Linked DNA regions of Xenopus tropicalis. The protein of the gene in region 1 purifies or fractionates together with the protein of each later gene. This does not show direct contact. Links are inferred from orthologs where the notes say so. Each region holds a gene or a part of one and is shown on either strand. Other genes may lie near its edges.

Region 1 (3,751 bases):
GCAGAACAGATGGGGCACTATCATACAAGCCAAGCGGGAAACTCACACACAGGGGGCAGTACTTGGGGGTAAGGGCTATTGGCAGAAAGGAGGGGGTAGTTAGGCTGCTCACACACAGGGGGCAGTACTTGGGGGTAAGGGCTATTGGCAGAAAGGAGGGGGTAGTTAGGCTGCTCACACACAGGGGGGCAGTACTTGGGGGTAAAGGGCTATTGGCAGAAAGGAGGGGGTAGTGAGGCTGCTCACACACAGGGGGCAGTACTTGGGGTTTAGGGCTATTGGCATAAAGGAAGGGGTAGTTAGGCTGCTCACACACAGGGGGCAGTACTTGGGGTTTAGGGCTATTGGCAGAAAGGAGGGGGTAGTTAGGCTGCTCACACACAGGGGGCAGTACTTGGGGTTTAGGGCTATTGGCAGAAAGGAGGGGGTAGTTAGGCTGCTCACACACAGAGGGCAGTACTTGGGGTTTATGGCTATTGGCAGAAAGGAGGGGTAGTTAGGCTGCTCACAAACAGGGGGCAGTACTTGGGGGTAAGGGCTATTGGCAGAAAGGAAGGGGTAGTTAGGCTGCTCACACACAGGGGGCAGTACTTGGGGTTTATGGCTATTGGCAGAAAGGAGGGGTAGTTAGGCTGCTCACAAACAGGGGGCAGTACTTGGGGGTAAGGGCTATTGGCAGAAAGGAAGGGGTAGTTAGGCTGCTCACACACAGGGGGCAGTACTTGGGGGTAAGGGCTATTGGCAGAAAGGAGGGGTAGTTAGGCTGCTCACACACAGAGGGGCAGTATTTGGGGGTAAGGGCTATTGGCAGAAAGGAAGGGGTAGTTAGGCTGCTCACACACAGGGGGGCAGTACTTGGGGGTAAGGGCTATTGGCAGAAAGGAGGGGGTAGTTAGGCTGCTCACACACAGAGGGCAGTACTTGGGGTTTATGGCTATTGGCAGAAAGGAGGGGGTAGTTAGGCTGCTCACACACAGAGGGGCAGTATTTGGGGGTAAGGGCTATTGGCAGAAAGGAAGGGGTAGTTAGGCTGCTCACACACAGGGGGCAGTACTTGGGGGTAAGGGCTATTGGCAGAAAGGAGGGTAGTTAGGCTGCTCACACACAGGGGGGCAGTACTTGGGGTTTATGGCTATTGGCATAAAGGAGGGGTAGTTAGGCTGCTCACAAACAGGGGGCAGTACTTGGGGGTAAGGGCTATTGGCAGAAAGGAGGGGTAGTTAGGCTGCTCACACACAGGGGGGCAGTATTTGGGGGTAAGGGCTATTGGCAGAAAGGAGGGGTAGTTAGGCTGCTCACACACAGAGGGGCAGTATTTGGGGGTAAGGGCTATTGGCAGAAAGGAAGGGGTAGTTAGGCTGCTCACACACAGGGGGCAGTACTTGGGGGTAAGGGCTATTGGCAGAAAGGAGGGGTAGTTAGGCTGCTCACACACAGGGGGCAGTACTTGGGGGTAAGGGCTATTGGCAGAAAGGAAGGGGTAGTTAGGCTGCTCACACACAGGGGGGCAGTACTTGGGGGTAAGGGCTATTGGCAGAAAGGAAGGGGTAGTTAGGCTGCTCACACACAGGGGGGCAGTACTTGGGGGTAAGGGCTATTGGCAGAAAGGAGGGGGTAGTTAGGCTGCTCACACACAGGGGGGCAGTACTTGGGGGTAAGGGCTATTGGCAGAAAGGAGGGGTAGTTAGGCTGCTCACACACAGGGGGCAGTACTTGGGGGTAAGGGCTATTGGCATAAAGGAAGGGGTAGTTAGGCTGCTCACACACAGGGGGGCAGTATTTGGGGGTAAGGGCTATTGGCAGAAAGGAGGGGTAGTTAGGCTGCTCACACACAGGGGGGCAGTACTTGGGGGTAAGGGCTATTGGCAGAAAGGAAGGGGTAGTTAGGCTGCTCACACACAGGGGGGCAGTACTTGGGGGTAAGGGCTATTGGCAGAAAGGAGGGGTAGTTAGGCTGCTCACACACAGAGGGGCAGTATTTGGGGGTAAGGGCTATTGGCAGAAAGGAGGGGTAGTTAGGCTGCTCACACACAGGGGGGCAGTATTTGGGGGTTTAGGGCTATTGGCAGAAAGGAGGGGGTAGTTAGGCTGCTCACACACAGGGGGCAGTACTTGGGGGTAAGGGCTATTGGCAGAAAGGAGGGGTAGTTAGGCTGCTCACACACAGGGGGCAGTACTTGGGGGTAAGGGCTATTGGCAGAAAGGAGGGGTAGTTAGGCTGCTCACACACAGGGGGGCAGTATTTGGGGGTAAGGGCTATTGGCAGAAAGGAGGGGTAGTTAGGCTGCTCACACACAGGGGGGCAGTAGCTATTGGGGTAAGTAGGCAACTCACGTACAGTGTAGGGGTCGGTGACTCTGAGGGGTACGTTAGCAACGCTATCCCCCCAGCCGGTAGCGCCCCGGACTCTCCTGACGGGATGTTTAGTTCAGGCTCCCGGGCCCTTCTGCGCACAGTCACAGGCCGAGGGAGCCATGGTGAGCGCCATCTTGTGACGTACAATCCCGGGAGCAGGACGCATGCGCAGTACGAGCGGTGAGACGCGCATTTGCGTGTCCGCCATCTTACTACACCCAAGCCTTACTACACCCAAGGTAGTGTTAACGTAAATAGTTGTTTTCTATGTAGTGCACTGACTTCAAATACCGGTAAAGGATTACACGCGTTATATTACATTGTGCCTGAGAACAAACAGTAATAATCTATTCAGGTATAAAGATTCAAATGCCACAGGTAAGATGGTATTGAACTGTTTCCGGCGGGTTAGTGGGCGGGGCAAAGTCAACTTCCGGTGTGAGGAGACAGGGAGAAACGTGTTTCTGGACAGCGCGACTGGTATTTTGGTCTCTAAGTGATTGACACTGTCGAACCGAAACAGAACCAATAGGGAATCGTATCCTCCCCGGGCCCTGAGTGAAATATGAAGAAGGGGAGCAAGCGGGAGGCCGGGGGCCCTCAGGCCGAGCAGCCGGTAATAACACGTGACTGCGATGCATGTGGAGCCCGACACCGGGGCCCGGGGTTACACACTGACTGGGAAGTGTATTGGGTATAGGGGGGGCACTGGGCTGGGGCTGTGGGGGGGAGACACTGGGCTGGGGCTGTGGGGGGGAGACACTGGGCTGGGGCTGTGGGGGAGACACTGGGCTGGGGCTGTGGGGGGGAGACACTGGGCTGGGGCTGTGGGGGGGAGACTCTGGGCTGGGGCTGTGGGGGGGAGACACTGGGCTGGGGCTGTGGGGGAGACACTGGGCTGGGGCTGTGGGGGGGAGACACTGGGCTGGGGCTGTGGGGGGGAGACACTGGGCTGGGGCTGTGGGGGGGAGACACTGGGCTGGGGCTGTGGGGGGGAGACACTGGGCTGGGGCTGTGGGGGGGAGACACTGGGCTGGGGCTGTGGGGGGGAGACACTGGGCTGGGGCTGTGGGGGAGACACTGGGCTGGGGCTGTGGGGGAGACACTGGGCTGGGGCTGTGGGGGAGACACTGGGCTGGGGCTGTGGGGGGAGACACTGGGCTTTGGATAAGGTGGGGGGGGGGACATGGGACACTGGGCTTTGGCTAAGGTGGGGGGGACATGGGACACTGGGCTTTGGCTATGGTCGGGGGGGACATGGGACACTGGGCTTTGGCTAAGGTGGGGGGGGGGGACACTGGGCTGGGGCTGTGGGGGGGGAGACACTGGGCTTTGGATAAGGTGGGGGGGGGGGACATGGGACACTGGGCTTTGGCTAAGGTGGGGGGGACATGGG
Region 2 (3,751 bases), on another chromosome or scaffold:
CCTCCTTCTTTCGAGAGAATCTCTGCACCATCATCTACCGGGTGTGGGGAACCAATCCCTGCAAGCTCAGACAGATTCTTACTGTTCCCTTTCACTCTGTGGAATCATGTATGTCTGTGTAAAAAATTAAATTATTAATACAAATGAATGAACTCATGTCAAATAGGCGGTATCATTTCCTTTTTAAAAAAAAAAAAAAAAAAAGGCTTTTTAGCATTAGCTCAGGTTTTATCTTCAACTCGGTATTCACCATTAGAGTGCTAAGGACACAGCAGGTAAGCACAAACTGCTAACATTCTATAGACCTGCATGTGCCAATGCAATCTCCAACACCTAAACAATTAAGGGCATTTATTTATAAAGCATCACCATTCTCCATAGCACAGGCTTAAATGTAACAATTTAACAATTTTGTTTAAAAACAAATCTTGAAATAAAGTCCCAAAAGTATAATGAATCCTTAATTCTATCCTACAGACTCTGTCCTGACTCCTTTCTGAATGTAGAAAGTATGTGCTACCCAGTGCTCATTAAAGCCCATGTGCCAAACAGACTATGCAAACTTTGTACTATTTATATTAGCATTCAGTTGCTCCAAACATTTTTTTTATCCATGCATTAGTCTTGGTCCGTGGGAATAAAGGCAATTTTCAACTCTTCTGATGAAATTAATATCATTAAAGTTATTGCTGGAGTATAGCACTAGAATGTACTGGGGACTATGATTTCTATGGCTATGGACAGTAATATATAACTATAGCAATAAGTCAAATCAACTAGACTTTTTTTTTTTTAGAGAACTGAATGAATGAGACCCTTCTCAGACAGACAGTAATATATACTGGTAACTATGACTATAACCTGAAGATACCATCCATCCCTACATCATGGGGAGAGGGCTCATTTTGGAATCTCTCGCCTCAAGGCATTGTTCCCCCAGTAGGCACCTATCCCTGGGTGATTGTGCCCCACACCTGCCTGTCCACGTTCGTGTGCTGTCCGTTCTAATTAAATTCCTGTCTCCCCCCCCCCCCCATTCTGCAGCTCGATCCTCATCGGAAGCGATATGTATAAGGCACCCCGGCTCATTTAGATCACTGTTGCTGAACACTGCAACCACTCAGTGTATGACACAAGAAACTATAATTCGGCAATAGACTGAAAATCAGAGAAACCGCTGGAGCTAATCGTACGGAGTCTCACTGACCTTACTAACGTAGGCGGTACATGCACCTGCGAGCACCAGGCTGAATACACTCCGCCGCTGCTTTCCCCACCATAACATAACTGTAGCGGCTAGTAACAGTAGCCTCCTACTTCCGTCTCCCACGTATGACATCAAGCCGCTGCGACGACTGCTGCCCTGGTTGTTGCTGAGCGACTGACGTCATCCCGGCGCGCCCTCTCTCTCCCTCTCCTCCCGTGCCTGTCTCTCGGCGAGAAGCCTTCCTTCCGTGAGCTGCGTGCCTGCCCGTGTGGGCTCCAGGAAAGGCAGCGAATGCCCCCGACTAGTCATTCCACCCAGGTAACTGGCCGCTGGCCACCGCCGGGACTTGATCGCTTTAAAGAAATAGTGTAGTGTGTGGGGGAATAATTTAAAGTAGTACATTAGTGGATGTAGATTTGTATTTACTTGCCCTGCTACAGGGACACAAAACTACCTTCTCTCTAGCTGTGTTTAACTACAACTCCCAGAATCCGTCCAGGAATTCTGGGAGTTGTAGTTTTACAGTTGACGAGCCGCACTTTGAAGACCACTGCTGTACTCAGTATAGACTTGTAGGCAACTCTTTATTGGGAGATTGTGTAGTGTGCAAGTGTTGTAAGTATTAACTCCCATATGCACAGTATAGCTCTGTGTATATTGTGTATTTATACACACACACAATTATACCTCTGTATCCTGTATATCTGTGCATACTATGAAATCCAAAACATTGCCTCAAGACTCTAGAACTACAGAAGTGGACTTTTTGGAAGTGGAATTTATTTACACCAAACCAGCCTGTAGGGGTACTTGGGCTTCTGCCTGTGACACACATTACTGAACTGCAAGTTGCCTAATTCATCCTTTTCTTGCCCAAAGTAAGTGGGTAGTACTAATGCTTAGGCATGCTGTGCTCACAGTACTAATCTTGGGGCAACACCCTATGCAAACCATTGTAAGAGAAGTCTGATGGTGAGAACATTCCCACTTAGTGCTCAGACTCATGTAAGGGACTTGTCACACTAGAACCCAGCTTTGTGTTGTCTTTAGTCTGTGCTGCTCCATTTAGCTGTTTTCATATGGGGGATTAGAGTGAAACTTTATTTAAAGATAAGGTTACTTATGTGTATAAGCTAGTGATGCACTGAATCCAGGATTTGGTGCAGGATTCTGCCAAGATCTGACCTTTTATATCCATATTTGGCCAAATCCATGCCTCTGGCCAAAACGAATTAGAATCCATCACACGGAAGTTGAAAAATTTTCATGCACGGTTCTCTTCAACCCTTCCTTATTCTAATATGCATATACAAATTAGGATTTGGTTCAGTATTTGGACAAATCTTTCGCAAACAATTCAGGGGTTCAGGCAGATTATAAAATAGTGGATTTGGTGCATCCCTAGTGTAAGCATTTACTGTAATAGGATTGAAAGGCAGAGGATGCCAAATTGCAGTAACATAAAGTATGGGATGCAATAAAACTTGAATTTTGTATAAAAGAATTTGTTATATATATAATTAACTCCAGTCTTTAGTGTGGACAAAATTTTGCCCGTCCTAAAATAAACTTTTCGTGTTGTATTCTTTCTGAATTATTTACCACATTCTTCCAAATTGCAGCTGGAAAAGCTACCTAGTTACAGGGTCACTGACCCGCAATAGAAACATGGACTATTAGACTTTAATTTGAATGTTCCTGTTTTTTGAATTATTGGTCTATGTTTTCAGAGCCTCTTCTGTTCCTAAAACATTCTGAATTCCAAATGTCTACCTGGTTGAAAGGTTAATTGAACCCTAGTTTAAGGTTTATTTAAGTGAAATACCAAAGATTAAATACAACCTGGACCCTTTATAAAGCACTTTTATTCCTGGATTATGTGTATATTAAAAAAAGCTCTTACTAAAGATGTATATACTGTTTTTAGGGCATGAATGTACCTACTAATAGCATAAATTAAGCTCCTGGTGGTCACTTGTGATTGACAGTAGATTGCTGAAATCTGCTTGTCACCCCTAGTTTTGATGATGATAATCAAAGGTGTAGTGGTTCTCTGCTCTGTTACTAGAGTGAAATAAAGTTACACCTGTTGGGGTTATGGCACATGGTGAAGGGACCTGCTTTTTTCATTTCTCTGTTAGAAGTCACTGAGACAAAACACAAAGATTGTCAGTGCTATCATTTATGGCACATGTAATGGAAACTGAGAGACTTTCTCTTTTCTGAGAGCTTTTAATGGAGCTGCTGCTTTCTGACTCTTGAAATTTGGAACTGAGGCAGAAGCAACATGCACTACACACAATTATATTTGTGTAGGCATGCCCATCACAGGGGTATGTATTGTAGGGTAATTATTTTCATTTATATGCCGTGTAATAAGTTTCCCTCTACACATTTAGTGGCAGTGCAGTTAAACACAGCCTTGTTGAACCAAATATGAGAAAAAACCCCACAAATTATTGGCATTAAATAAATGTAGAGCATTAAGATGGCTTTAGGTAATATAGAGCACATGTAGCAAAAAATTGTCTTCTGGACCGGGCC

Evidence for each region.
Region 2: the proteins of hsf1 (region 1) and fbxw7 purify together in Homo sapiens (affinity purification with western blotting; 4 studies listed by BioGRID, with this or other methods). This does not show direct contact. The link is inferred for Xenopus tropicalis from reciprocal best matches to the Homo sapiens genes HSF1 and FBXW7.

Annotation. Positions count from the first base shown.
Region 1 is NC_030682.2:152,321,887-152,325,637, forward strand, and holds the start of hsf1 (heat shock factor protein 1), read right to left. Parts: upstream 2,575-3,751; 5' UTR 2,339-2,574; exon of another isoform or gene 2,335-2,338; intron 1-2,334. UniProt on the Homo sapiens protein: Functions as a stress-inducible and DNA-binding transcription factor that plays a central role in the transcriptional activation of the heat shock response (HSR), leading to the expression of a large class of molecular chaperones, heat shock proteins (HSPs), that protect cells from cellular insult damage.
Region 2 is NC_030677.2:55,438,953-55,442,703, forward strand, and holds the start of fbxw7 (F-box/WD repeat-containing protein 7), read left to right. Parts: upstream 1-1,396; 5' UTR 1,397-1,525; intron 1,526-3,751. UniProt on the Homo sapiens protein: Substrate recognition component of a SCF (SKP1-CUL1-F-box protein) E3 ubiquitin-protein ligase complex which mediates the ubiquitination and subsequent proteasomal degradation of target proteins.